Astyanax mexicanus: one gene and its partners. The protein of the gene in region 1 interacts with the protein of each later gene in a biochemical or structural test. Links are inferred from orthologs where the notes say so. Each region holds a gene or a part of one and is shown in the gene's direction. Other genes may lie near its edges. The genes, in order: trinucleotide repeat-containing gene 6A protein, cnot1 and ago2.

Region 1 (10,746 bases):
TCATTTCTACTTTGATTGTATTTTCAGGGCAAGGAGGCATGCATGGCCAAAGATTTTGTGGTTTTGGAGGAAGGATGGACCATAGTTCCATTTAGAGGATGATGCCAAGGAAGTTAGGTTAAGACCTCTAGTTATATAGTCTGCAGGATTATTCTTTGAGTCCACATAATGCCAGTCATCTGGGGAGGTGTGTTCTAGGATCTCTGTCAAACGATTAGCTAGGAAAGGTTTGTAGCGACAGGATTCTGATTTCACCCATGTTAAAACTACAGTGGAGTCAGACCAAAAGAAGGTTTGGTCTATCTTCAGAGTTAGTTCGGTTCGAAAGAGTTTAACCAATTGCACCCCTGTTACAGCAGCTAACAGTTCTAGTCATGGGATGGATATGATTTTCTTGGGTGCAACTCTGGATCTTGCCATGAGAAAGGATATGTGGATGTCACCTTGAGCATTTTTTGTTCTGATGTAAGCTACAGAACCATATGCTTGTTCTGAAGAATCACAGAAGACATGCAGTTCACTTGCTTGATCACTTGTTCCATACCATCTAGGAAAATGAATGTTATGCAGACTTGGTAGTTCTTCCCATTCCTGCCAGGATTGTTGCAAGGAATCTGGTAGGAGAGGGTCATCCCATTCTCTCTTTTTTGACCACAATTTTTGGAGAATGATTTTGGCTCGAGTGATGAAAGGACTTAGGTAACCTAATGGGTCGTATTGGGTGCCCAGTACTTTGTACACATTCCTCATTGTTAAAGTGTGGTATTTCACTGGACGGTACTTATAACCGAGAGTGTCAGAAGTGCAGTCCCAGGTTAATCCAAGCGTTCCTTCAAGTGGATTGTTAGCATCTTGATTCAAAAGTTGAATTGTGCTGGTTGCCAGAGCTTCCAGTGGGAGTTCATCAATCACTGCTGAATCATTGCTAGCCCACTGACAGATGTCAAAGCCACCTTCAGCCAAGATTGTTCTGATCCTTGCGATGAGTTCTTTAGCTTGTTTTGAATCTTTCAAGGACTGCAAACAATTGTCTACATAGAAAGACTGCAAGACTGTGTCTACAATGTCTTTGTCTGCTTGAGGGTGGTTTCTGACATGAGTTTGGAGTGTATAAACAGCACAACAAGGACTGCAGGTTGTCCCAAAGGGTAGTACTTGCCATTCGTAGGTTGAAGGAGCTTCAGTCATCTGCTCACACCAGAGAAATCTAGTGAATGGTCTGTCTTCAGGAAGGAGTCTGATCTGGTGGAACATTGCCTTGATATCGCCACTGATTGCAACAGGATGTTCACGAAATCTGAGGAGTACACCAATTAATGTAGGACCAAGGATAGGTCCTGGAAGGAGTTTAGAATGTAATCTTTGTGAGAAGGAAAAGTTGAAAACAATGCAATATTTTTGGTTATGTTCTACTAAATGATGAGGAATGTACCAGGATGCATTGGACTTAGCTTCTTGTTCTGGGGACACTAAAGAAATATAACCTTCTTTTAATCTTGTGATCTCTTTGGCATAGACCGCAGTCAAACATGGATCATTTTGCAGTCTTCGTTCTGTGCTATGAAGCAATGAGAATACAGCTTCCTTTCCAGATTTAATGGTAGGCATTTCATCTTTCCACAAAAGGGGAGTTGAGTGACGTTGAACACCATCCATTTTGACTGTCAGATTTCTCTTCCAGCATGGCCAGGGCTCGTGTGTCCTGTTTACATCGTGTGACCTCTCGTTCATTTTGATAGGGCAGGACATCAACTTGCCACAATTTCTCAACATTGTGCATGAGTTCAGCAGAGGAAGATGTGGAAACATGCATACATTGGACTTTGCTTTTTACCTTGTGTAGGTAAGTTGGTCCTTGCAGGGTCCATCCCAATCGTGTGTGAATGGCCACAGGGGTTCCAGGGGGTCCAGCCCTCACCTCTTCTATGGCAGTTATCAGGTAAGTGTTGTCTGCTCCGATGAGTAGCATTGGCATGGCATTGTCAAAATCTGGCAGGGGAAGATCTTCCAGATGTTGGTAGTACCTTTTGAAATAGCTCATTGGATAGCTATGCTCAGTCAAAGCAAGATTTGAGGATGTGAACGCTCCCTTGATTACATATTGCTCAGATGGATTATCTGCTGCTGCAATATTGAATGTTACAGATGAGCCTTGTATTTGTTCAATACCTTGCCGAATGGTGTGAAGCTCCAAAACTTCAGGAGTTCCTTCAAGTTGTAATGTGTCTACAGCTTGTGACAAGATCAATGTTCGTTCTGAACCATCATCAAGAAGAGCATATGCATGGCAAGACTGACCTTTGTAACTCAGAATGACCTTTACCATCTTCAGAAGCACTTTGGGGGAATAGCTTGATGGGTTCAGGTAGAGTACCTTGGAGGACGAATGCTGAGGGACTAAATCATCCGTTTTCCTGTTTGCTTCATGAAGAACACCAAGGTGTGGACCCTGACATTTTGGGCAGGGTTTCTTAAGGTTACATTCCTCAGCTTGATGGTGTTTTGCACATCGCCAACATAATCCGTTGCTTCTAATCCATTCCTTCAAATTACTTGGGCTTAGTAGTCCAACTTGGGAACAGTATGTCAAGCTATGCTCCTGACTTTTACAGTATGGGCAGGATTGAGATCTTGCATGCACAGATAATAGAGTTGGGCCTGGGGCTGAGACTGTAAATAACTAGATGGGGAGGCAGGATAAGGCTGAGGAGGCTGGGAGCTGGACTGGGAGCTAGACTGAGTGATATGAGGAGGAAAAACACCAGACTGAGAGGAAACCTGAGGCTGTACAGAACTAGATGGAAAGGCAGGATAAGGTTGAAGGGGCTGAGGCCTAGGCTGGGGATTATGAGTAGGCACAACACTAGACTGGGGTGCAATCAAAGGCTGAGGCTGTAAAGAACTAGATTGGGAGGCAGGATGGGGTAAAGCTAATCTAGATGGGGCTGAACATGAACTTCTAGCTCTGTTCTCTTCAGGTATAGAACATTGAAATTCTACACAACTGTGAGGTCTTTGTACAGGTTGGGAGTAATCAACATCAAAGTCATCATCAGAGCTAATGCAATCTTCAGAAACATTTACTGATTCAGAGTCCCTGTTACAAATATGCAGGGATCCCATACGATCAAGTAGTTTTATTGTCTCTTTCAGGCTGCATACCTAGTATGTAGTTCCTTGAGGTCAGATTGTTGTTGTGCTGAGGCAGGATTCGGGATCCCTCTACCTCCAGGTTTAAGATAGGTAGCTAAAGGCCTTGGATTAGTGGTGCAGGGTTCCTGTGGCTTTCCAAAGCCCACTGACTCGACGTGATATTGCTGAAGATGGGTTGGAGGCCTTCTCTGCCGTGTGGATCGTCTGTTCTCTTGATCTGTATCCATCATAACTGCCAATCCCGGGTTTCGGCACCATGTAAAGTTTAGTTGGATTGCATTTAGTGGAAGGGTGGCTGGCGTGATGGTGTGTCCATTAAAACACAGGAGGATGAACAGACTTCAACTGATGCAGTTTATTCTCAGAGTCACAGCATATTTCACAATGAGGCAGAGCAGGTGCATGAATGGACAGTTAATGCATGGCTGAGGAAAGGATGGATGGAGGAAGGAAGATGATGTAGGGAGAATGGAGAGATTATACAGGATGGTTGTATCTACAGGATGGATACACAGGATGGATGGTTTTATCTACAAATAAACAAAATACAAGGATCAGTAAAACAATACAAATAGTGCAACAAAAGGAACAACAAACCAAGTGAGCAAACAATAAACCCAATCACAATCAAATTGGACAAGTTAACATAAATGAATTAAGTAATAAATCAGAAAACTTACACAAACACACATCCATTGGAAGCTCAGTCCACAATCCAAAAGAGGTTCAAATTCTCAGACCATGCCAAACAAAGAAATAAAAAAATGGCCGACAGTGCCATTTTAACCTCTAAGCCCCGCCTTATCCTGCTGCAAAGAATTATGGTCTATGTAGTTTACCTGCTCCCAGGGAATTTCCAACACTTGGGGGTTTGTGTCTAAGCTGTATTTGTCTATAGCAAAATGAATGGGCTTTTCAAAACTCGCCTCTATCACATTCTGTGGTAAATAAATATGTTCTTGTTCATTTTATTCTGCTACTCTTATGTGCTACAGTATGAGCTTTAATCACACAGGAATAAAATGTTGTAGGCCAAATTGCTGGGACTAATCTGCGATAGGTTCAATGGCTAAGGCTGTATATGTAGGCTACTGTAGGCTGTATAGTTTAGGCTAAATGACTATATTAAATGGGTTTCCAATAAGGAAATATTTGACAGTAATTAGCTTGAATTGTATGGTGTATTTGTGTGTGCGTGTGTTTGTGCAGTGTCCAATGAGGCAGAATGACTGTCTTTAAAAGGCCCCCAGAGTGGAGGCTGCAGGTCAGTTTTTGCCCGTGTGCTGGTGCTTTGTGTACAAAGTGAAAGCGTAGGCACATTCCTGCGGGCAGACCGGACAGTGTTTACATTGTTCCTGATTTGTTTAGGGTTTTCTCAGTCCACAGACGGCTAAACTCTTTCTATTTGGCCAGCATTCATAGCAGACTGCTGCACAGAGCTAAACACATTTACGGATGTAAGCAAACAGATACAGCATCACAGGCAGCTGGGAGCAGAAATACCTGAGGGAACTTTTGTTTAAAGAAGAGGGTATCTATACACAGCTTCTGAAATCATTTTAAAAGTGAATTTTGTCTAAAATGCTTCACACAGCAGTCAGAGTATGAATGCACATTTTGTTTCAGAGCTGCCATTTATTTACTCTGTTGAATTTATCTATATGCTGTTTGAAACATTCATACTGCTTTTGTAATTTGCTGAAATGTAGCTTGATCACTATAAATAAAAAAAACAAACAGCTTGCAAAGAGATGGACTGAGATAAATAAATACATGGATTCCTTTAGCTTTGATTAAATTACAGTATGCATACTGTACTCTATCGCATTTTTTCCACACACCTCTGCAATGTTACAACAATAGTTTTCCCCAAGATCTGGTATTGATGATGGGAGATTTTGACCACTGTGCAAAGTCTTCTCCGGCACATCCCAAAAATTCTCAATAAGGTTCAGGTCTGGATTCTGTGACATGCACTATGATGGGTGCATTACTTTAGCCACCTCTTTCCGAACCCTGATGCACCCATCACTCTAGAACAGGGTAAATCATGATTCCTCAAAGCACATGTTCTCCTTCCATCGCTCCAGATTCCAATCTTTATGCTCCTTAGCAAATTGAAGTTGTTTTTGTCGATTAGTCTCACTGGTAAGTGGTTATCTTAAAGCTACACAGCTGATTAGCCCCAATCCCTTGAATTCCCTTCACATTGTGCTTGTGAAAATGCTCTTACCTTCACTTTTAAACATATCTCTGGTATTGTTTTTGTACCACAAAGTTAAAGTGATCGCCAATTACCATAATTTAATATTTTCGGATAATTTGACTCTTCTGAAACAGACAAACATATTTTCAAGGACACAAAATGAGTTTAACAAATGAAAAGCTTCTCATTGCATTAGTTAGAATTCAATAACTTGTCAGCTGAAACATAATCACCCGTGCAGTAAATATCCAATTTGAAGATCTTTGAGTTATCCAAAAAGTTCTACTTGTTCCTCTGTATGAGTGCTTTAATAGACTTTGAGCAGTGTTTAGGGTCGTTGTCAAGTTGAAGTATCCAGCCCCAGCACAGCTTCAGCTTCGTTCCTGATCTGTGAACATTGTTCTTAATAATCTGCTGATATTGACTGGAATAATGCACCCCTCAACTTTAACAAGATTCCCAGTACCTGCACTGATCACACTGCCCCACAGAATGAAATCTCTGGAGCTGGTCTGTGGATTGACTATGACTATTCTCAACATCCTTCTGCTTATCTGAGATGTTTCTTGGTCTGCCACTTCAGGCCTTAACTAGAACTGTGCGTGTGGTCTTCCATTTCCTCACTATGTTCCTCACAGGGGTAACTGACAGCTGAAATCTCTGACAGAGCTTTTTGTATGCTTCCCCTAAACCATGATGTTGAACAATCTTTGTTTTCAGGTCATTTAAGAGTTGTTTTGAGGCTCCCATTTTTCCACTTTTCAGAGAAGATGCAAAAAGGAAAAAAACTTGCAATTGGCCAAGTGTTTCAATTATTAGAGATAAAGCTATTCAAATCACTAAAACAACAAGGGTGCCCAAATGTATGCACCTGCCTTATTTTGTTTAAATAATTATTGTAATTTTTTTTTGTAAATCCTATAAACTTAAATATCACTGTGTTTGTCTCCTATATGATGAATTTAACTGAAATTGCTGATCTGAACACCAATGATTTAAAAATGAAAATCATCAAAATGAAGGTGCACAAACTTTTTCATACCGCTGTAGATAGATCACTAGTGTTAAGTTGTTTGTTTTTTTAGTTGTATAGCTGTTATTATTGAGCTGAACTGGATTTTGTTTGTTTATGTTCCTGATATGCGCCTGCTGCTCTGCGCCGTGGCGCCATTTCGTAGCGGAAGTGGCAGCCGCGCGCGCCGCTGAGCTCTTCCTGCGGGAGCGCGCAGTGAGAGAGAAAATGTCCGCGCGGGCGGAGCGGTGATCCTGCAGGAGAGCTAAGCGCGAGCTCGGGTTTAAAGATCAATAATACACTCATCGCTGATCCACTGAAGGCCTTTCACCACACTTTACTCATCGCACTTTAATCTACACAGGTGAGGCTGAACGCGCTTTTCGCTGTTTGGCGCAGTTTGCTGTAATGTAGCGCGCGGCGGAGTCGAAGGGCTCGAGTGGAGCTGCGCGTGGTGGCGTCTGTTGTTTACAGGGACCGTTAAAACCGTGATAAACATAAACAGCGCGGTGCATTTGGGTAATGTGTGTTTTGCGGGCGGCGTGTTGCAGAAACGTCTTAGTCAAGCGGCTTCAAAAGCCAGAACTACGACGCCGAAGTTGGACCTCCTATTAGAGTTGTTCAGTTCCACCTTAAATGGTGCGGCACTGATACACTATATAGTCTGAAGTGCCCGTATGAAGCTAGCGAGCTGCTTTTCCGTTTAAGGTGGACCGGAAAAATTATAAAAGCGAAGCCCAGCTGTAACCTCTAACGCTGTTGGATATTAAAAAGCTAATTGATTATTCGTTGGATAATGCTCTTACATTTGAGTTTAAATATTCGTCCAACTACATGCTTATGTTACAGAACAAAATGGCGTAAGATTTGAGTTATAAATAATAGACCTAACGTTAACCTTTAGCTAGCTAGCGTTAGCCAGTTATGTTTTTGAGTTTCTGCCTCGTTACAAATCTAAGCTAGCTACACAATAGTTTATAAGTGATACAAATAAGTCTTTAGCTAGTTATTTAATAATGACTCTAAATGCGAAGTGGTTATCTTGTTTGCTAAGGCTGTATTTTGTGGTCTTAAATTTAATACTGACTAACTAGTTAACCTTGCTAACTGATTAGCTTACTTTTGTAAATATGTTTATTATATAACTTGCTTTTAAGAACGCGAAGTGTGTTAAAAGATTCTTATGTTTATACCGCTAACCTAGCTTAGCGATGTTAAATCTATAAAATTATATATGGCTCCAAGCTAGTTAACGAGCTATAAACAAACAGAGCAGGTCATTGTTTAATAGCTAGCTTAGCGGACTAACCTAACCTAGGTCTCAGTTTTCAACAGATCAGATCAGAGTTTCGCAGACCCCGAAAGCCATTTTATTTGGTTAATGCAGGTTAGCTAGCGTTACGTAGCTGACAGCACAGATATCTACATAAGCATGCCGATAAATAAATAGTTAACTAAGTATAAACGAATAAATGTGATACTGAGGCAAATAGTATGTGGGCTTATTAGGTTTAGTCGTATGTTAAATAGCTACGTAGTTAGCTTAGCAGCTAGGCTAGCTGATATTAGCTTCTGAGCTAAAGCCCTTAGTGTTTTTCCTCATGTTTTAGTTTAGCTATTTTGTGTTGGTTGTAGAGTTAAGCGTACTATCTTGTATAATGTAAGCTTCATGTAGGAGAGTGAGTATGTGTAATTATAATTCGGTGTTGTTTAGCTAGGCGAGCTAAAAAAAAACGTTTAAATAAATGCTTGTCCACTGCAGAGCTAACAGTAAGGGTTCCAGCATTCAAACTGTCATCCCACAATATTATACTTTTTTATTTTTTTTGCGAGAACAGGAGTAAAATCAGTTATTTCGTGATGGAAGCCGGGTGTTGTGTAGTTGTGTGCGACTGTAAGCGGTTAGCAGGTTTAACGTGGTTTGTCTGTGGTGGGGGAGGTGTAGCTGTAGATTTTCTCTCCTACTCCTGGTTATGAAATCGCGTTGAACCACCTTAGGGGTTTAATTTGGTTCATTTTATGATTTTACAAAAATCAATGTGGTATTTCCCATGTAGACACTGTCTAAACACTTCACTTACTGATGTCCATGTCTGCCATTGATTAACTTTGGTGCCTGTTAGTGCTGTCCAATCCTAGACAATCACCACCAAAGAACAATATAATAAGGTTGGCAGTATGTATTTTTTACAATACACTTGTTATTGACATGCAGTAGTAGGATTTCATTTCTGCTATCAAGAACGTGAACTATATATAGTACAGTGGTTATTATAAAACATATATAAGATGTGACCTGTAAGTTTTTGTGTGTTTCTAATTGCATACTAAAAAGTACTTTTGAAGTGTGCATTGTGGTGCATTCCCTTTTCAGAGTGGATGAATCTGGTGATTTGGATTGGTTAGGAGTCTGTTGCCCTCCTTTATTTCACCAGCTTGCTTTAGTTCTAATCTATATAAATTTTCTCTAATGATGAGCTCTTGTATTATCCTTATTAGCAGCACTGCATTTGCTTAAGTTAAGACTTGTAGCCAGAAAAATGTCCCGGGACCTAACAGACACACTGTTTTTAAAATAAATGCATTTGGCATTGCCAAAATGGTAGCAAAAGCAGATTGATGCAATTTATTATATTTTGCTATCTCCCCTGCTTAGACATTTTAAAAATAAAATAAAGTAAACAATGTAAAATCTTCAGGACTGCTGCTTTAAACAATGCTTATTACACTGTGCAATACAATATTTGGTTGTACAGTAATAGATCCACAATATTGTGAAAAAAGGTTCAGCAACAATGTTCAGTATAATTAATATGATACACATTTTAAGTAAACTAGCATCACATCTGCTTCAGTATGGGACATAATCAATAATGTGTAATGATACTAAATGTCACCAGTGTTTATATATTTAATCATGGCATGCTTTTCAGATTAAGCAAAGTTAATATAATCTGCTGTCATAATTTTTGTTTTTCTGAGACTTCTAGTGCATTCTCTTTTTAGTAGAATACTGAGATGTACTGTTTAATATATTTTATATATTATGTAAGATTTATGCTTCACAGCAGGTTTAACCGTACAGGATTAATTTCAGTAAAATTAAATTAGGTCGCTGTAGAATAGTCAGAACAGGTTCTGCAGCATTTCTTCTTGTCATAACAAAGTTCTACACTTTCCATCTAACAACTTGTTTCCTCTGTTTGTCAGACAATCTTTGGTTTTCTGATAAGTTACAATAAAAGCCCAAAATAGATCCCTCGGTTTAAAATATGAAAACATATTAAAGCTAAATGTGTGGTAAAAAAAAATTTCTGGCCTTATCCCCTTCATTTGTTGATTTGGAAAGTGTTGTAATATATAGTATCGCTAATGTATATGCACTCAGACTTCATACAGTAGAAATGGACTGTTTTGTGTATTTGTCATTTTTGTGTATCTTTCAGTTTAATTGACCAATTGCTGATTGGGTGATCAAGGGTGGGGCTAGATACCACATTAACACTTAGGCATACTTGGTAATGTGTCTTTGTAGGTTTTCTATAATGTGGCGAACACTGTCTTTCAACTAAAAATATGCTTTATATTTTAAAATCAACCATATTAAACAAAATGCTGTGGAGCTCTAGCTTAAAGACACACTGAAGAGTGTGAACACAACTGAAAAGGTTGGGTGCCATGTTTGTTTATTTTGTGTTAGGTGCAGACGTAGTTAATATAGGTTACACCCACAGTGGCTATGTCTACATGCAGCCTAATAATCTGTTAATAATCAGACTTATAGCTCAATCGTTTATTCAGACTATTGTGTCAGAATAAAGTGTACATATAAATATCTCAGTCAGATTCTAGAATCAGAATGAATTCATTCAGATTGGAGGAAAGCTTTGATGTAAACATAACCAGTGATGCGTAACAAAATATTGACATTGTCTCTCAATATGTTGCTTTGCAATACTGAATTCATTTTCCAAAACACAGTATTGATTTAATTATGATACATGTAAAGGTTGGTGACAGACAGTGGTTCATAAGCTGACTGAGGTCTATGCTATTCTTAATATATTTGTTTCTGTAGCTTTAAGTAGATAAAATAATGTCCATTGTTATCAACATTAGCTGATCAACGTAAAGCTTATTGTCAAACACTGGGCATGTTGACTGATTGAACTGATACTTTTTTTTTTCACAAAAACATTCTTTTACTGTACTTAAATTGTATTAAATGATTCGGAAGGTGTTCCATCATGAGTATCCAAACATAAAAGGCCTTGATGGGTTATTCTGTTGTGATTTATAACTAATGATTGGGTTTTTCTTTAATTCACAGAATTGGATGCTGTTGCCACCAAAGACCTTGACAGAAGTGACACCG
Region 2 (10,524 bases), on another chromosome or scaffold:
GACTGTTTAAAAAAAAAAAAAAAACTTTTGATATTCTGTTATTTATATGGACTTGGAACTGCAGGAAAACAAACATTATTTAATTTGGAAGACTGTTCAACAGGTTCAGGGTTAGATTTGACGTTCTGACGATTTTGTTTGGTGTGTTTGTATGAAGTTTGCCTGGTGAGGTTTAATGTGCTTGCACTAATTTATCTCCATACAGCTTTGGTGTTATCTTCTAAACAAAGGAAAGAGTTTCTCCACCCCATCCCCACCACTGCAGAGTGCTTGTCTTTGTCTCAACACCCCTTCCTATAATAGTCCTGAACCTGTTTGACTGCATCCTGAAGAGCAGCCTCAACCACCTCAGATATAAAACCCAGGACTCGCAGGGTTGTCCAGAATGGTGTCGAATTCCAGTTGCATCAAAACCTGCCTGGGGCTTTAACTTCATGTCCTTCATAACATCCTCCACCCTCACCCTCACCCTGATTTTATTATGGTGCTATATCTATATTGTCTGACATATATGTATATGCAGGCTAAAGTGCATATCATGCATATGTATTTTGGGATGATGTTTTGTTTGATTAAGGGGTGTGTATCAGCCAACTTCTACATAAATCCTGCACTAAACAAGCTCTGCCTACATAATTATGTAGCTGTAACACACACACACATACACACACACACACACACTACTTTGCTCCACATTGGTAAACATCTCTGCAAACTTTCATAACATGTCATAACAATGTTACTGGCCTGCAGGCAGGGCTTGTATCATGCAGTACTTTAACTTGTACAGTATTTATTTGGCATTCTCTGTTCTCTTTTTTTTTTTTTTTTTTTTCCTTTCTTGCTGTCAGTTTTACACCAAATGGAAGTGTTGTTGGTCATAGTGTGTACTTCCCTAGATTTGATGCTCTGAATTATGAATGTTTGTTTTTTCTTTACCTTATTCTGTGCCAGATATTTCTCGTCACACTGTTACAAATTGCATTGGATCTTTTGAATAGGAGATTTCAGCTGTACAATGCGGCCTGTACATATTAAAAGATTTATGAGTGAACAAATCCTTCTGGTCAGTGTGGATTTGCTTTTACGAAAGCCTTTCTTAGCACACTCTGCACTGAGAGCTGTGCTCATGCAAGGACTAATGTGAAATGTGTGTTTTTATCCAGAGGAAATGGCTAATGCAGATTAGTTTTTATTTGTTTATAAGCATGTGTATTTTCCTAACTAGACAAAAAAAAAAACTAGTTTAAGGCTACGTTCACATTACAAGCCACATTAAATAATGAGTTAGCAGCTCATATGTGGAGCATCTTTTGCTGGAGTGGAGAGTAAACAGCTGCTCTGAAGTTCATGCTCAGGTCCAGGAGGTGAGAAAAGGCCAGGCGGTTTGCTTTTGCTGTTTTATTAGCTATAGCTGCACAGCTGCACCAAGAGATGTGTGGGTACGAGAGAGAAGCACGTAGCGCTAATGCTAACGTGTAAAAGCAAAAAGACGCATGAATCTGATTTGAAAAAATCGGAATTTATACGTTCACACAGCCGTGAAAAAAATCTGATCTGAGCCACATTGTGCAAACAATTTGATTTAAATCACTTCAGCCTGGTAATGTAAACGTAGCCTAAAACTGTGAACAATGACTTTTGGGGGGAAGATCGTTCTTGACAAGTTATCTTGCAAAAACAGAGAACTTATTGTGATCCTGTGTGCTTGCTATTTTTTTAGCTATATTAAATGATACTAAAATAAAGCCATTTGGGAACTTCAACTGTTCTTTATAAAGGTATTATTAAGTAATCTTGCTGCACAGATTGTTTATCTACCTGTGTAATAATAGCATGTTCTGGGACAATTTGCATCCAGGACGTGCTGGTATTCTGTAGAAAAAATGTTCTTCTCTCTAACTGTGCAATATTGCCAGTTTTGCTAAACCTAAACCTTAACTTGAAGTATCCACCCCCATGCTTCACAGCCTTCTACCATTTTCCTAATGAACCTGTGTTGTGTGGTATACATACTTTAAGCACTGACTTGGAGGTCACAGGCTTAGTATTTTTTTACGACTCTTCAATACGATTATGTTTGAACAAACAACACTGCACAATAGAACAGTGCTCCACCCTCTTCGTGCAAATAAACTTCTATGCAGGTTCTTGTCACTCAGTTGGTGGTTTTGTTGATATTACCAGCATATAAACTCCTTTCTCAGTGTTCTTGTGCTTCCAGATTTCCACAGTTCCCCTTAACTTCTGCATGCACACTGTAGAAACTGCAAACTGAAAGTCCTGGAGCCTTCCCTTTTTTATGGGCATGAGTTTTTTTTTTGTTTTCAGACATTTGGACTGTTGCTGAAGACCATGTTTGATGAAAGAATATTATTTGGCACAGGATTTTTGCACCCAGGTGTGTTTAGGAGTGTGTATTATTATTATTTGCACTCAGGTCTAAGTATAAATTTGTACTACTACTAAAAATATTTCATAATTTATTTTTAAGTGCATTAAGATATACTGCATTACAAAGTTTTAAATTAAAGGTGAAAAGCCTCCCTGTATTGCAAATGCTGCTTGTACCAAAGGACAAATAATCCCATAAATTCCCATATTTTTTTTTACCTTAAGAAATATTCATAATGTTCTATAATAATAATGACCTACTTTACCCACACAAGTTACAGCTATATAGATGATTATGCTGTTTTTATGTGCAAATATTGTTTGAAAAAGTTATGCATATTTTAATAAAATGCTATAACTGACAGAATTGTTTGTCATATTTTTTCGTCATCTGATAGGTTGTTGTGCTGCGCGCATCGGGCACGACCATACGAACTAGTGATTCGGTTCGATTTAAACCGATTCTTTCCAACTGTCTGATTCAATGAATCAAATGTTCAATTCAGTGAGTCACTGATTCTCAAATCAATACCTATTGATTATTTTTACTTATCAATTGATCTAAAATGTAAAATATATTTTATGTTATATATGTATGTGGTAATAACCTATATGGTATCATCACACATTTCCTTTTTTTCTCATTTTGTTTTTTCCCCTGCGTTCCAGTTATTTTGTTATTGTATCTTAATAAACAAAACCATTATCATTTATTTTTAAATTATTAGCCTGTCTTTATCCTCTAAATTAAACACTCTGCATATTTATAATTTGTCTTTAAATATGATTCAATGAAGGAATGTAAGTTGACCATCACACCCCATCTCCAAACCCCCAAACTTATTCCAAAAAAATTGTAATAAGAATAATATTACAATAATAATAGAATATGAGCACCATTATTCCAGAGAACAGTTCCACTGCCCCACAGATGACCCTGTCTCAACAATTTCATTTTCACTTTAATAATTTTATGTGACTTCAAATTAGGCATTGTATTTATTTAGCTAGGGAGGAGATCTCATTAACACAAATATTGACTTAATTTATTGGTTTTATTAAGTTTTTATTTATTTAGAATATTTTGACTTTTTTATATTCCAGTCACAATATCTGATATTTATATTAATTTTAAGTGCACTGCTCTTTAACGGGTGTAATTACATTGTTATATCATAATGCTATTATACAGTACAAGTCAAAATTTTGACTTTGAGCTTAATGGTGTAAAAATATAGATTTCTTTGCATAGGTAATTCTATGTCCCTATTGCTAGCATTGTAAGTTGAAGCAAGTGCTGTATTTCAGAATGCTTGGGGTAAATGGAACAGGACTATTCGACAAACGTTTGTACTCGTCCATGTACATCATGTTTCACTACACCCCAAGCATTCTGAAATACAGCACTCATTAAATAGAGCACTCATTTTCTGCAAATAAGTGCTCTAAATTACAACATATCAATTAAGAATTTGGGAAAAATGGCTGAAATAACAACAAAGATGCAGAGCTTTTAGACCTTAATTAATGCAAATAAAACAAGTTCATACCTATAAAGTTTTAAGAGTTCAGAAATCAATATTTAGTGATTTTTAATCACAGTTTAATGCAGCTTGACATCATGTTCTCCTCCACCAGTCTTACACACTGCTTTTGGATAACTTTATGCTGCTTTACTCCTGGTACTCCTGGAAAAATTCAAGCAGTTCAGCTTGGTTTGATGGCTTGTGATCATCCATCTTTCTCTTGATTATATTCCAGAGATTTTCAATTTTGTAAAATTAAAGAAACTCATCATTTGTAAGTGGTCTCTTAATTTTTTCAGAGCTGTATATTGTATCTAGTGAATAGTGAATAGTGAATGTGTTAATAAGTGAACCATTCCGAACACAGTTAGCTTTTGAATCAGCTCTACGTATTTGATTCACGAAGATCGGTTCAAACGAGCCGATTCGTGCGCGAGTCAGGACGTCGCTAATAAGAAGAGCAGCGCCGCTGGGTGCGCGCGAGCTATGATAGTCGCCATTTTATTTTCGAAAAAGCGAACAGCACCGGGGAGGAAAGCGACCTTTCACCAGAGCAGACCGAGCCGAGAAACGTAAGAGAGAGAAAATACACACGATCAGCGGCGCGTAGTTTGTGTGAACGGAGGTAACGTACGCGTTTCAGCTCTGCTCTCGTTTTGGGTTCCGCTCGCGGACGTTAGATTAGTCTTGTTATCGTGCGGCGCTGCTGTGTTAGCCGAGTGCTAATCTACCGTCAACGCGCAGTCAGCCCGGCTAGCCTGCTTCTCTACAGCCGCTCAGCGGAGCGAGGCAGGCGGGGGCGGATTCACGCAACATCGCGGTCTGAGAGCACTGCAGCAGATACACGGAACTAGGCTAGCGGTTAGCTAGCTAATACCTACCAACTCTAGCGTGTTTATCACTTAACTACAGATCACTCCTTTTAGTTAGCTGTCTTTCACTCTGTTTAAATGTGAACACAACTTATAAATATCAGATATTTTTTATAGATATAATAAAATTATAATTACTAGCTAGATAACATTATTCACGTTACTCAAGTTTTACTGTATTTAGCTAGCTTAGCTTCGATAGCTAAGCTAGCTGAGGCCCAGAACACAAGCTTAGGTTTACAGTCATCTAGTTACTTCTGAGCTTTTTAACATAATTTAACTCATTTACACACGAAATAAACTGCTCAAATTGTGATTGAAATATTTTTTTAAATCGTATAATTTACAAAAACAAAACACAAGCGAAACTATAGCCAGCATTCATGGCATGTGTGTTAACTAGCTAAGCTAGCTAGTAATGTTATGCTCTCAAGCTTGCTAGCTAGCACTAATGGTCTCTTAATGGTTCAAGGCTCCAGCATTAGCTTAGCGTTAGCTAGCTTAGTTAGCTGGGTTAGCTAACTAGCTGAAGGCCCTGTCTGCAGTGGACCGATATGTTTTCCGTTTCTCCAGAGGATAACCATAGAAGGTGGCTAGCTAACATAACGAGATTAGCTAGCTGTTAAACTCTTAATATGATGGATTATTCGTCGGGGATATTAAAAATAAACAGATGTGAAACTGAGGCCTTGAGCTGTAGTTCTCTGACGCTTTTTTAGCAGGTGAACAGAGCTGGTTGGCTAGCTCAGTTTGGAAACAAAGGTTTTTCTGAAGTTGAGAAGGGTCTTCTGGCTGACGTGAACTTTAACCAGGTTAGGCAGTAGGTTAGATAACTAGCTAGCTAAATAGGTTAGATCATCTAGACAGGCACTTTATGAATAAACATTTAGCTGTGCTAGTCTAGCTAAACATACAAATTAGCTAACCTATAGCTATTTGATAAGTGGTAAGTTAGCTAGCTAGCTTAAATCAGTGGATTGTAGTAATTCACTGTAACGTTACTTTGCGCAAATTGGTGTTTTCCTACTCACCACTAGACCAGCCACTAAGCTCTTCTTAAAGTTGAAAACGTTGTATTAGGGCAGGGAAAGCACAAATATGTAGACACGCTGGACTCCAGAAGATTTATTTTGTAAAAAAACACTCGTGTGCCGTTAAAAAAAACAAATCTAAATTTATTATAAGACGAGGCAGCTGCTGCTTTAGCATGTTGGGTTAACTTGCTAACTAGCTGCTACCATTTACTTCTTGGGGTTGACTGTAAGCACCATCTGGCTAAACAAATAAATAAACGGTTGATTCCAGAAGATTGTGTTTGAGAAAGCACTGGACGCTTAGTATATGGTTATTACAGGATAATGCATCTTCTATTTTAGCTAGCTAAAATGGTAGCTAGCTTCCACCAGTCAGTTCTGACGGTTGAAATAGCAGGAAAAAGCACTAAAATGTGCAGGCAGCAGGTTTTAAAATATGTTGTTATTGTAATTATCGGAATAAATCAGGTTTATTTGGCGTATTCACCATTGTTAGACGCATCATATTTAAGTAGCTACGTTAGCTAGCCTTATAGGAGATGATGCAGCTGTTACCTTAGCATGTTAGCCTGCAAGCTAGCTAGCTGGCTGCTGTTTATTTCAGTCTGCAGTAGAATTTTCCTCTTATGGCTAACTATTTTGTAAAGCTAAGATTTAGTTTATTTACTTCCTTACTCGTGGTTTTACAATCTTTTAAATGTGGATAAACTAAATTAAGATTGCAGGAACCAAGCAAGCTAGGTTTAGCTATCTGCTAGTCAGTCTGGGGAATGAATGAATTGACTACTGATATGGTTTAACATATCAGTTTAACACTATATTCACCTGGGTTGTCTCCTTTCTCAATAAATTCTCCAAAATTGTCGAAATTGGGTGCCTTTTAGTCATTTCTTGTTTTTGAGGTGGAATAAAGTGGTAACTAAAACATTAAGGATGTCTTAGGAATGGAATAGCAGTGGCCTCATTGATTCCTGGACAGATTTTTGACAAAGGATTTATACATTTTATTGATGTAGAGGTAAATAGTAAAGCAGGTCTTGCTTCTAAATTTCATACAGTAGGTCTTTCACAAATATTGTGCCAAAAATAAATCATTGAACATTTGATTCGTATGACAATTTCTTAACACTGATAAAATAAACATTTATTTTTAAACAGCCACAGACTTTTAATTAGGAAATATTTAGATATTTGTTGTGACATATAAGATTTGTAACAATGGAAATTAATGTTTAATGGGCTCTTCTTGCCAAATGAACTCGATAATGTTATTATTACATATAGCCTTGCCTATACAGCTAAGAGGGTTTAGACACCTTGTTGACAAGCAATGGTTCGAGTTTACCGTGTTTTGGTTTGTACTGTAAATGACTACTCGCATCTGTGTGTCCCAGAGTGTGTTTGTACGCACGAACCGCTCTATTGTAAGTAAAATAACTGATTAAGTAAGTTGTGTTTACACAGTTGCTTGTTGACTGTAGCTTTATCTCCTTTTGAAATTGTACTTTCTAGACCAATCTAATCTAAAGACCAATACCTAACTGTAGAATTGCCATGGCTTCCGGGTATGCAGCTGCATGCACCCTTAAGTTTCTCTTTCTCTATACTTCTGCTGCTGCCAAAGTTGTGGTTTTAGTAGAAACCAAAGAACTGAAACTAGGTTTTATTGCTGTTTTTTACCATGGCAGGTTAAGCAGCGGTGAATTAAGTAGTTTACATGCATACGTGTTTACAAGCAGTTTGACTTCTCACAGTAACTACAGAACTACAAACTACAAAAACGTATAGTGTTGCAGGTTAACTTGTAAAATTGCTGTGGGAGTAGGTCTTCCAAGTATGTCAGCATATAAACTTCAGATTTTTGTACATGCATACTTTGAAACCTATAGGCCTGGCATGATCAGTCACAAAGCTAGTAAAAAAAAAATTGTCAGGAAATTTGCCTTTTCTAATCATATTGTGGACATCGTCATTGTTAAAGAATATGCAAAACAAAAAAAAGACATTAGCGTGATATTTGTAGCACGTTACCACCTGTATTCTAATGGAATTTTACTGTTTTAATAATCGTAAAATACATTTATCAATTTTGTATCTCAGTAATTTGATCTAGTTGCTGTTCACCTATAAAATGGACCATTTTAAAATTATTTGTAAGATTTTTTAAACTTTCTTTCCGTGTTGCAGGTCTGTCATTCCCTTTCTAGATGTTAATATTTCTTTCTTTTTCTTCATTTGTAGATGTCATTCTTGAAGTTGCAGTAAGGGACCGTATTTTGAATCAGGATCCACCGACAGAAGCCACTTGTTGGACACACGGACAATTACACACCTGGGGAGGGGGGGGAGCAGAAGTAACCTATCACCGAAGTGACTAAAGGGGAATAATGGTGATTTTGCGCCGTGCTCGGCCGCCTGCTTCCGCCCCAACCAGCAATGAATCTTGACTCGCTCTCGCTGGCTTTGTCTCAAATCAGCTACCTGGTGGACAATTTAACTAAGAAAAACTACAGAGCCAGCCAGCAAGAAATACAGCATGTGAGTTTCTGTTAAGCTGTTGATGTTGATTATGAAGATCAATAATGGAGCCATGTTTTCTACATTAATTTATACTGTTTATGCTTTAATCTTTTAAGATATTTTACAAAAACATGTAATGTTAATGTTTTGTTAGCATCACAATATCTTACAGACAGCCATTGTGTTTTTTATTTTTTTTTATTTATTTATTTATTTTTTGTCTATAAGGCTTTAGGGACATGTTAAAGCCAAATAATCTCAGTTGTGGATTACTTTATCGCAGTCAGTGCAGTATGTCATTCACAGATGTAATAAGTGTTAGGGCTGTGAAGGTCACACTTACTTGATGGGCATGGAACACACTCTCACTCTCCCTATATCTCAGATTGTGAATCGTCACGGCCCTGAGGCAGACAGGCATCTATTACGCTGTCTCTTTTCCCATGTGGATTTCAGTGGCGATGGTAAAAGCAGTGGGAAAGATTTCCACCAGGTACCTTTTTTATTTATTTGCTAGTTAGATTTTTTTTTTTAATGTTTATTCTTTCATTTCTGGTTTGATTGGTACAGGAATGTCTTTCCACTCAGTGCTCATGGATTTACTGCTAAGTAGGGCTATAACATGTTGTATTAAATTGTATTGTATATGTCGTAACATTGTAATATAGTGATTAAAAACACCCATATTGTAGTAATAGCATTATTTTCTATTATTTTCTATTTTCTATTGTTTACTGAATTAAAATATGTACTATTGAAGCTTTAGGGGAATATTTGTTGAATTGTTTGCAGTTTAATGTCATGTACTTTAATTTGGGAATTTGAAATTGTACACTAAGATTGCTATTCTTATTAATACTGCAAACCTTTATGCTAACATGCTGTAGAGTTGCAAGAAACTTTAGGCCTGAAAATATCTATTTTTATATATTTTAAGTTATTTAACTTGTACAATTTTCCTGACATTCTCAGGACCAGCTGTAGTATAATCTTTTATTTTAACTTTCCGTGCTTCTGTATGTTACATATTTGTCCACAGTAGGCTGTAATGTATGCATTATAGCACAGTTATTATTGACTGTTTCACTCTTTACTGATTCTTGTGTATCATTTAAAGAAAATGTATTGCTTTTTGTGCTTTAATCGATTTTCTTCTGTTAGACACAGTTTCTGATCCAGGAGTGTGTGTCACTTATCACAAAGCCAAATTTTATTTCGACTCTCTGCTACGCCATTGACAATCCTCTGCACTATCAGAAGGTTTGTGTAGTTTGCCTTGAAAGCTATGTCAAATAAACACAAGGTCAACTTTTATTTAGTTCCTAATCTTATTTTTTCTGTTTCTTTTTTCTGTTTTCTGTCTTTCTTTTTCTTCCTACTTCCCCCAATTTCTCTCCTCTTCCATCCGTCTGTCTGACAGAGTTTGAAGCCATCACCGCACTTGTTTCCTCAACTGAGTAAAGTTCTCAAGCTAAGCAAGGTTCAGGAGGTAAGTAAAAAACTAGGAAGCACTATAATACTGAACTTTCATTATTGGTTAGTTTGTGAACTTGTCAATTAACCCATTCTCTTTTGGACTAGGTAATTTTTGGCCTTGCTCTTCTGAACTCCAGTAACTCAGACCTCCGAGGATTCGGTAAGCGTTCTTATCTGATGCAGTTTCAGTGTATGTTAAAAAAAAACAAAAACGTTGTGTTACATTTGTGGTAAGTCCCCTAATATTGTGGTCGAAGGTATCATAAGCTTGTTTTAACTGTCTCTCTGTACTCTGGCAGCTGCTCAGTTTGTGAAACAGAAGCTGCCAGACCTTCTGCGCTCATACGTGGACGCGGACCTCGGAGGGAGCCAGGAAGGTGGCTTCCAGGACATTGCCATAGAGGCTCTGCACCTGCTGCTCTCACACCTCCTGTTTGGGCAAAAGGGTTCCAGTGGAGTCGGGCAGGAGCAGATCGACGCCTTTCTCAAAACACTGTGCAGAGGTACTGAACACGCCACCACTGTGCTAATGTGAGGAACGTGTCTTTCCTTCAGTTCACTTGAAGCTCCTGGGGACCTAAATTTAAGTGTACTTTCAATTGCAGTAAATCTTGCCCCAGATGTTTATTTTTTTGTTGTTTTTTTTTTTATTTATTGTTTTTTTTAAGGGTCATCTCACAAAACTGGATGTTTTTTAGCTTA
Region 3 (10,141 bases), on another chromosome or scaffold:
TTAATAATGGATAATACAAATTATAAGAGGAATAAGAATAATGTGTAGATCTGTGTTGTGAGATGTAGTAGAGGAGTATAGAGGAAGTTTCCGTGCCTGTGTTTGGGTGAGGCCCAGAGAAGCGGCCAGCTCGGCTCTCTCGGGCAGCGCCAGATACTGGGTGTTCTGGAAGCGCCTCTGCAGCGCGGCGAGCTGGAAACTGGAGTAAATGGTCCGGGGCTTCCGCACTTTCTTCGGTTTACCGTTCACCATCCTCACCTCCGGCTCCACCGACTCTTTTTCTACCGCACCAAACACAGAGAGGAGGAATATGAGTGATGAAGAGAATAAAGAAAAATACTATTCTTTAACTCTAACTGAGTAGAACCCAACTGAACCGCACAGAGTAAATAAGGAGAGGGTTTAGGCAACTCGATAAACGCGCACTGCGTAAACACTTTCCATTCGGGTCATATAGTAAAGTTACATAGATTAAATTAATGTACATATACCTGTATACGTGTCTACACTTAAAAAGTCAGTTTATTCGATGTTATTTACCTACGTTATATGTAATCTTAATCTTAATGCCCGACCATTTAAATTTTACCCGTTTCTTATTTATTTTTTATTTAACAAAAAAAAAAAAGAATCTAACAAAACCTAGCAACACACAGCGTACAAAGCTTTATTTATTAAAATGCTAAAATATATAGATACAAAAATGAACGTATTTTATAAGGAAATAATCATTAGAACCAAAATAAAAGTGCTCTAGTTTAATAATGATAAAAACGCGAAGGTTAAATAAGTTAAATATAATACAGACACAAGTGATAGCAGCATTAATAATAATAATAATAATAATAATAATAATAATAATAATAATAATAATAATAATAATAATAATAATAGTTACCTTGCGGGCTGGGCTGTGACTGCACTCTGCTATATGTTCCGTACTGATGGTAAGCTGAAGTGCCGTAAGAGCCGTAGTCAGGGTAAGATTTGGCAGAGTAATTTCCCGCGGATCCACTGACTCCGTGGTACTGGTACGGGTAGCTGTTGAGAGGTTTCCCATAAGAGCCCGAGTTTGGAGAACAGTAGCCGTGGTGCGCTCCGGCCGGGCTGTAGTAGCCCGCGTCCGTGGCGGTGGACTCGGGCAAGGTGGGAGACTCCTGAGGCGGGTGGTGCATGGCGGAGAGCTGGAACGCGTTCTGGAAATCTGTAGCTTTCGTACCGGGAATCCTCCTGTCGAATACTCCAGTCATGGTTTGTTTGAGTGAATATATATATATGTGTGTGTGTATGTGTGTGTGCAGTAGGCAGCGGCTGTAGCTCTGTGCAGGTCTCTGAAGTTTACACTCGCATGGTGTGTGCTCGCTCTGCTCCTGAAGACTGCTGGAAGCCCTGCAGCAAACACTTGGTTAAATCGTGAAGGGCGCCGTTACGCACTGCAGGGAGGATCCAGCTCCATTGGCCACGACGCGCACTACAGCTACTCCCTAACGCACTGAGCAAAACACTGCGGCCTGACGGGAGCAACTATACAGCGGATTTATAAACAGTCAATGGGCTAGAGACGACATTTTCTTTCTTTTTAACGTTAAAAAAAGGATTAACAGAGCCATGCTGCGTGTAAAGTACAAACCAAACGCTTTTCAAATAAGTCTTAGCATACATATAAATGAATCTACATGTTTCTACCCTTTCGTTCAGTCCTACACTACACAAACACATTTTTTTTAAAGCAGTAAAACATTTACAGGCTCAATCACATTATTTTACGTTTACATCATATAAGCCTTAATATAGTTTAAATCAAAAGCCCGGATTTGCCTCTTTATTGTTACACACGTTGCCCTTTTAGTTAATGAATCCACATCGTTTTAAATTTCTCAGGGCGCTTCATTACGGATTACAAGCTAATAGAAAATGATTTACATGTAAAAAGAAAAATAAATACAGTCACGTTGTTAAATCAGACGCCAAGTAAGATAGTATTGATTTACTAACGGTAAAGTGGCGCCACCGCGTGGTGGAGATATAATAGTCAAAGTCAAAGTGGTTTTTATTGTCATTTCAGCTATATACAGAGTACACAGTGAAACGAAACAACGTTCCTCCAGGGACCATGGTGCACATAAACACAGTGTAGACAGAACAATAGTGCAACAGTACAAAAGTGCAGACAGACAATACAACACAATACAGACAAAGAATAATAAATAACAAGACAGTGTGCAAATTATGCAGTGTGCAAAAAGTGTGCAAAAAAGACCAGTGAGGTAGTAATTACCTCTATTACACAGTGTGCAATAGAGTCCAGTGAGGTAGTAGGGTTTTTAGTGCTTTCCATTTTCTGGGGTAAGTGGGGTAAGAGTGTGTGTGCATGTACAGAAAAACCATCAGTTCAGTCTCTGCAGTTGAGGAGTCTGATGGCTTGGGGGTAGAAGCTGTTGCAGAATCTGGTCGTGCTGGACCGGATGCTGCGGTACCTCCTTCCCGAAGGCAGGAGGGAGAACAGTTCGTGTGAGGGATGAGTGGGGACATTCACAATGCTGGTTGCTTTGCGGATGCTGCGGGTGGTGTAAATGATAATTTAAATAATAATAATCTGTACTTTTAAATATTTTATGTATAATAATAATAATAATAATAATAATAATAATAATAATAATTATTATTATTATTATTATTATTGTTATTATTATAACAATAATAATATTAATAATAATAAAAAAAATACATAAATACTTTCTGCACACAGACTTCTAAATTTGAAATGACTTTAGTAAGATTTTTAACTTTTTAACAGAGTGTAAGGAGTTACCAGTTTTTTTACTGTTACTTTCTTACTTTACTTTTTAATGTGAATGATTTCAGATATTAGTAAAAAAAAATAGTAAATTTATTAAAATAAGAAAAACTACTTAATAGTAAATGCAAATAAAATATAATTTTTGAAAGAAGTGTTTTGTGTTTTTGTGTTTTTATAAATTTCTGATTAAACAATTAGATAAATAACAAAATAATTTTGACACATGCTTTCACATGCTGCTCCCTGGTGGACTATCCATGCATTACATGCACCAGACAAATACATATTCTAAGTTTAAATTTTAATTACTTGAATAATATGTTTAACATTTAAATCAAAGTATATGGACAATTGTTTGTTCTATCATGGTTTAGATTATTAAAAAAATAATTAAAAAAAATATAAATGTATTATTAAAGTTAAAATCAGCTATGCAGGGTGTAATTTGTTTATTTTATTTAATAATTGGTAAGTTTGTTTTAAACGTGGTTAGATGGTTCAAACTATAATGAGTTAAAAGCTTACAAAACTGTTCTGCTTGCAGCCTAATTTAATTGTTGCAGAGCCTCTTTATGGAGAGCTTACCCACTTCCTGTACAAAACCTTTACAGCAAAAAAATGAGCGCACACCACTAGAGGGAGCCTGAGAGGGAGTCCTTAATAAATGAGAGTAAATGAAGCTAAACGGTTAAACTTAAATTAAAAATAATAATGAACTACTTGTCCATGTTATTAATTTACTTTCAGAAAGTATGTGGAAGTATTTCGCAAAAAAAAAAAAAAAAAACAATTTTTCCATTTTTCTGTTTTTGGACAAAAGAGACACTAGCATTACTATACTGTGTGCTGACTGGTTGGTAAGCTGATTCTGGAGAGTGAAAATACAACCAGAGCACGTTTAAAGGGTTTATAACTGGAGTTTAAAAACTTTAAAAAAAAATGTGCTGAAACATTCTATGTATGTCTGTGTTGATGAATAAATGAATTCATTTTTCAGTGTAAACATGTTCAAACATTTACAAACTATGATTTTGCTCAATTGCTCTATAGAAACCCATTTGCCAGACCTCATCTCCTATTAGAAACCATCATGATTACTCAGATCACAAACTGCTGGTCTCTAGTTGTTCATTAAATTCTCTAGTTGTTCATTAAAACCCCCTAACTCTGGAATAATCTTCCCAAAAATGTTTGGGACACCTTCTCCATCTTTAAGTCTAGACTAAAAACGTACTTGATTAGTTTAGCTTTTGGTAATTAATGTTTCCCTTTAGATAAGATTGCATATTTTGGCTTTCATGATGTCTTGACCACTGCATGCGATCACTCAGGTTTGTGGACTGTGGGGTGGGTGGATGCCATTGTTTCAGGGTGCCTTTGTGTCTATGTTACCTTCTGGCTCTCTCCCTTTATTCATGCTGTTATACTCAGATCTGACACAGCCATTAGCCACACTCTGATAATGTTGCATATTGTCTTTTCTCCATAAATTCCATCTTTCTGCCTTCCTCCGAGTTACTGACTGCCCACCTATCCGGCCTGATACCGACGGATGTTCAACTCTCAGGGTCTCCTGTCACCTGTCCGGCCAGACTGGTGGAAGTCCCTGGAAGTCAGGCTTCCCTGTCACTCACCACAGTAGTAGCTCACTCCCCACTACCAAGAACATCAAAGTTTACATGAACTCTAACTAGTAATTTTCTAACTGCCTTCACTGTGATAACCTCAAAATACAAGTGCTATTTAATAAATTTTATTAGATTTGAGATGATCTTGGTCAGGTTTGTCCAATGGTGGCCCAATAAAAACTGAAGATGTTCTCAATTAAGTGGGCATTATCGCTGATTCGAATCCCGGTCATGCAGCTTGCCATCAGCTGCCGAAAGCTGATAATAAAAAAAGAAGATTTTACTTTTCTGCAATCAGAAGAGTGGGGTCTGAGACAGAGTTAGCAACATACAATGTTATAAACTATGATTTTGCTCAATTGCTCCATATGAACCCATTAATTTAGCGCTCAGTCAGGAGCGCCCACTGGTGGGCTGATAAACAGTGAAGAGGTTGTTGGTTAGGATATTTCAGTGGGTATTCTCCTCTTTAGAGAGTCTCTGAAGGCTCGGAAGTGACGCACAGCTTCGCGCAAGTGTTTACTTGTTTTTATTAATTTTCGGTCGCTTTGCATTTTTATAAACGTGCTATTTTAATATTTAAAACATAATTTTTTACTCTCTATATTTTATTAGCTCTTAGTAAGCGCTGTGGTGTAGTTTTTGCGCGGGTTTTCAGAACACCGGAGCGGCGGGCAGGCGGATGGTGCGGTTGTGGTGGTGGTGCTGCTGGTGATGGGGGAGGAGGAGGGACGGAGGCAGCGGGACCCGCGGAGCTACTTCAGCCCAGCACTCGCCTAAAACCGCGTTTTATCCTCCGAAATCTGAGATTAAACAGCCGTTTTGCACCGCAGTCTAACTATCCCGTTCTCGTATGCACTTCACCGCGGTCGGGAAGCGAAAGTGAGCGCGGTGCGAGCGGCGAGGTCTGTTTAAAAGCACAAGAACTCGCCAAAATGTATCCGAGCGGAGCAGCTGGGGGTGAGTATCGTAAGCTAGCTTAACTAAAGCTACTGAATTAAAGCTAAGCCTACCCACATAGCTAGCGTTAGCTAACTACAGGCTGTAGATTTGTATCTGCTGTCTGAAAACACCGCCTATCTGTGGCCTGGTATTTAGAAGATTTAGATTATAAACATTTGTAATAGATTAAATTATTAATCTGTAGTGTTTGAGAGCTCCTGGCTGATAAATCCGCCTGTTTAGTGAGCTAGGCCGTGCTATGTTATTGTTAGCTAGACGGCTAATGCTAAGCTAGGCTAGGCTAGCTCGCTGTCTGCGCTTGTGACTGGTTAGCTAACGAGGCTGGCAAGTGGTGGTGTTAGCTTAGCTAAGATAGCTAAGTAAGCTAAGCTAACAAACAAAGTTTCTAGCTAACCTAGCTAGATTGAGATAGCGTTACATAATTTTACATAGCTACGCCGACTACACAAACTGTAGTTTGTCGTTTGTACTAATTAAGTTAGCTTAGCTAAGTTATCTTATTACGTTATCTGTAGTTTAAACTAGTTAACCCTAGCTAAGATAGCTGTAGTTAGTTAACTAACTATAGTTTCAGTGGTCAGTTAAAGCTAGCTTAGTGATTTACTAATCTAGTTAAATAGGTCTATCACAGGTTATTTCTCTCTTAGTCTAATTAGGTTACGTTTTATTTTGCTGTGCTTTTCTGCCTAATGTGATCTGTACAGCTAACTTACCTAGGAAGTAAGTTATGTAGTACACCAATCAGTAAACAGTGTTAGCAGATCACCTTGCTTTATATTAAAAGGAAAATATATATGTTAGAAACACTAAGTTAATTATATAAAAACCGTTTATGGCTTCTCGTTTGCACCAGTTAACTAGATATAATAATTAGGGTTAGGTTTAGCTAGCTTTGCTATGTGTCCTTTCCTCACTGTAACCTAGCTAACTACAGTTTCAATGGTCAGGTAAAGCTAGTTATATATTTCTTAATCTAATTTATTTTTACTGTGCATTTCTACCCCTGATGTGTAAAGCTAGTTAAGAAGTATTTAACTTAGTACACCAGTCGAGTACACCATTTTAATGCAGAGGTTCTGATGTTTTTAGGTGAAAGTTTTTGCCCCAAACTATTTCTGGGGGATTTTGTGAAACAATGATTCTCAATATTCTTCAAATATATGAGGGATTCTCTATTTAGATTTTAGATCTTTCAATTTAAAGTGATACACAAGCTATTTTTTCCTTTACCTTTAATTTCAAAATGTTTTAGTATGAAACATGGTTCAAATATAACGTCTTTTTTGGTCAGTTAAGGAAATGTCTATCTGCTAAGATTTCTTCTGGCAGCTTCTATATGTAAATATGTACAATCTTGATTATCCCACAGAAAATTAATTAAGAGCAAAAACAAGTCAATTATTTTAATTAACCTTCCAGCCCTACCCCAAATTAAAATACAAGTTTTCAGTAAATATTGTTTGGACAGTTAAAACAAGCTAGGTACTAGAATTTATTTTGAATCTTTTTCTACCAAAGGTAATCTGTAAGGAGAATTAACGCCAGACAGCTGATTCAGTGATCCCCATTAGGTAGCTGGTTAGCCTGGTCCAGCTGGTTGTAGTTTCACTAGTGTCTACAAATTGTTAATACAAGAATATATTTGTTTTTTTTCCCCATGTAAGAACAAGCCAACCTCAATTCTTGTCTCAACTGGTGCATATTGATTATGCTCACATTAGTTTTACTGTAAGTAGCAGGTCAACACAAAATTGAATTTGTTTGAGTTCTTCTAACATGTGAGCGTAGTTCAAAGGCCAATTATTTTTAGGACTAAACTTCTACATCTTATTAAGTCTGGTCTTAGACTTAACCTGAGTGTGAGAAACCCATTCAAAGTAACTACAAATATCTTCTTTGCCCTTGCATGTTGGGAACAGGGCCAGTGCTGTTGTGTAGGTGGGGTAGACAGCCAGGCTGTTAAGTCGCTGGTGTGGTCTTGTTGATAAAGGGGTGAGAGAGTCTGCAGCACAGATCAGGATGGGACCTGCTCTTTCCTATCTTTGAAACGTGACACATTTTTGGTTTTGATAAGCTTGGTTGAGGCATTTTTGAGAATCTAGCAGCTAAAGCACATCATTGTGACAAACAAAAGTCATTTATAGTCTTGTGCAAATGGCTAGACTTAATACATACTCATTTGTAAATCATTTGAATCACTAGAAGTTAGACTCTATAGACTTATTCGACTCTCTGATAAGGGGATCATGACATTGTCACACAAACTTATTTTGTAGAAATGTCCACAAGCCTGTTTAATGTCTTGTGTAATTGACTCCACAGTATCTCAAGTTTGTCTGGGGGGCTGTGTAAATAAAAAATATAAAAATGTAATTTTGTTTTTGGTAGTTGCTGAGATGTGTGAGGGCCTTACCTCTTCGCGATCAGTAGATTCTGGTAAGCAACCATGACTCAAAGGTTCATTGTGCAGGCTAATTTCAGTTTTTTATTCAGTTTAATCAAATGTATTTTTCTTTGCTGCATAAAGAAAATGTTCATACCTGTGGCATAAGCGAATTGTGACGCCCCACTCAATTGTGGGGAATTGTGCTATAATCCAAATATAAGTTATTTAATATTGAGCATCAGACAATGACAAGGTGGGCCTGATATATCTGTATGTTTTAAAATTTTGGAACAACACAGCACAGTTTAGGCAACGCATCACAGGCCATCAGTTAGTGTCACAGTAGAATCTGTTTTAGTGTTTAGAATATTTTGAAATGTTCCTACTTGTTTAGTATGAAAATTTGGCACTATAATAATTAATCTTGTAGAAAACCTTGCAGAATAACACTCTAAATATGTATGTTGTTTTTAGCCCATGTATTGTTTGCTTTAGGTAAAAAATATTTTATTTATATGAAAGCAAAGGGAGAATTTAATGTTTTTGTTTGTTTGCTGTTTGTTTTAGTAAATACTGTTAATTATTTAGTAACTTGCAGAAGAATAACTAGTGATCTAAAACCCAAAAGAACGTTCTGATTAAAGTTTATCTGCAGTTCTTTGGTTTTGAATGCTCCTTCCAACAAACAGTGTAATGTGGAGTTTTTTTTCATCGTATTATTTTTGGACATTGTCAAATAGGTATGATATAAACAGTGAGATCTGAAAGCAACACTGTGGTTGAGGTTTAAACAAAACACACAAACTATTAGATCTTAATCTTTTGCAGGTAACCTTTTAATTTTAAAGTAAAACTGTCAATACAGTTGCAAAACAAAGTATTACCAATTTGTTTATGTATTTTTCGCACATAATGCAAAATAGTTATTTTTAAACTTAAAATGTATTTTTTTTACTTGCAGTACTCTCAGAAAATTTTGATAAAAACATTTCTTTTCTGACAGGTTTGAATATTTATATAATCTATATTGATTTGGGGTGTTATTTTTCTGTCAGTCCAACAGCCCTATTACTCAGTTAACAGAATGTTCAAGTTGAAAAAGCCATTCTTTGCTTATCACCAAATATTAGCTTCTAGTCTTTTAGAGTGACTATAATTCCTTTTTACAATCTAATTTTGTTAAAGCTAGATTTGAAGAAGGCACAACTCCTCCAGTTTCATATACTTTTGTGTTTGTCCCAACAGCTCCTCCATCTCCTCCATCACACGAGTATGTGTTCAAACCACCTCAGAGGCCAGACTTTGGCACCATGGGCAGGACAATCAAATTGCAGGCCAACTTCTTTGAGATGGAAATCCCCAAGCTGGAGATGTACCATTATGATATTGACATCAAACCAGAGAAATGCCCACGGAGGGTCAACCGGTAACACTCACATTTATGTCTCATGCCTAAGGATTAAACCGTAGTGACAAATCAATTTCAAACTAAATTCTGTACTGTTTGTTTGCAGTGAAATTGTTGAGCACATGGTCCAGCACTTTAAAACACAGATCTTTGGAGATCGAAAGCCTGTGTATGACGGGAGGAAAAACCTGTACACAGCAATGCCCTTACCTATAGGGAGAGACAAGGTGAGTGATTTTTTGTTTTAAAGGATCTCTAAATGTGCACATGCATCTAAACACTCTAGCAATAGGCTACATAACTACAGCCATCAGGTAAATGTCAAATACAGATTCCTGGTTCTTGGTAAGGATTCTTGACTTGTGATGCTGTTGTAGGTGGAGCTGGAGGTGACTATCCCTGGAGAAGGAAAGGACAGAAGCTTTAAAGTGGCCATAAAGTGGGTGTCCTGCGTTAGCCTGCAAGCTCTTCATGAAGCATTGTCTGGACGACTGCCAAGCATTCCTTTTGAGACCATTCAAGCTCTAGATGTGGTCATGAGACATTTGCCCTCCATGAGGTCAGTGGACTGGATGTCTTGCACTTGTTTTCACTCAGCAGTCACACTTAAAATATGGTGGTGCAGACTGATGTGGTTGATTCATTCACAACTGACTTTGTGTTACATGTATACATCAATAATTGAAGGATTGTAATATATCTGATTTTGTTGCTGTAAGTGCATTCTGTAAGCATATTTTTTATTATTTGTCGCCACAAGAGGGCAGTGCTTTCATGCACTAATCTTGTGTTATGCTGGATAGAGCTGGTAAGCAATATTAATGGAAAACCAATTGTAGATTAAAACTATTCTTATATGTTTGTTTTCTCCCCAGGTACACACCTGTTGGCCGCTCATTCTTCACACCTTCAGAGGGCTGCTCCAACCCCCTTGGCGGAGGGAGGGAAGTCTGGTT

The links.
Region 2: the proteins of trinucleotide repeat-containing gene 6A protein (region 1) and cnot1 form a complex in vitro, tested with the Homo sapiens proteins (2 studies listed by BioGRID). The link is inferred for Astyanax mexicanus from reciprocal best matches to the Homo sapiens genes TNRC6A and CNOT1.
Region 3: the proteins of trinucleotide repeat-containing gene 6A protein (region 1) and ago2 form a complex in vitro, tested with the Homo sapiens proteins (2 studies listed by BioGRID). The link is inferred for Astyanax mexicanus from reciprocal best matches to the Homo sapiens genes TNRC6A and AGO2.

Annotation. Positions count from the first base shown.
Region 1 is NC_064426.1:13,557,350-13,568,095, forward strand, and holds the start of trinucleotide repeat-containing gene 6A protein, read left to right. Parts: upstream 1-6,573; 5' UTR 6,574-6,735; intron 6,736-10,701; 5' UTR 10,702-10,746.
Region 2 is NC_064417.1:4,143,771-4,154,294, reverse strand, and holds the start of cnot1 (CCR4-NOT transcription complex subunit 1), read left to right. Parts: upstream 1-4,357; 5' UTR 4,358-4,492; exon of another isoform or gene 4,493-4,545; intron 4,546-8,067; 5' UTR 8,068-8,262; coding exon 8,263-8,364; intron 8,365-8,731; coding exon 8,732-8,839; intron 8,840-9,507; coding exon 9,508-9,606; intron 9,607-9,766; coding exon 9,767-9,835; intron 9,836-9,927; coding exon 9,928-9,982; intron 9,983-10,121; coding exon 10,122-10,325; intron 10,326-10,524.
Region 3 is NC_064410.1:49,162,508-49,172,648, forward strand, and holds the start of ago2 (protein argonaute-2), read left to right. Parts: upstream 1-4,958; 5' UTR 4,959-5,363; coding exon 5,364-5,388; intron 5,389-7,779; coding exon 7,780-7,827; intron 7,828-9,022; coding exon 9,023-9,203; intron 9,204-9,291; coding exon 9,292-9,412; intron 9,413-9,562; coding exon 9,563-9,744; intron 9,745-10,060; coding exon 10,061-10,141. Other genes in the region: homeobox protein Dlx5a, read right to left, coding at 97-281, 899-1,250.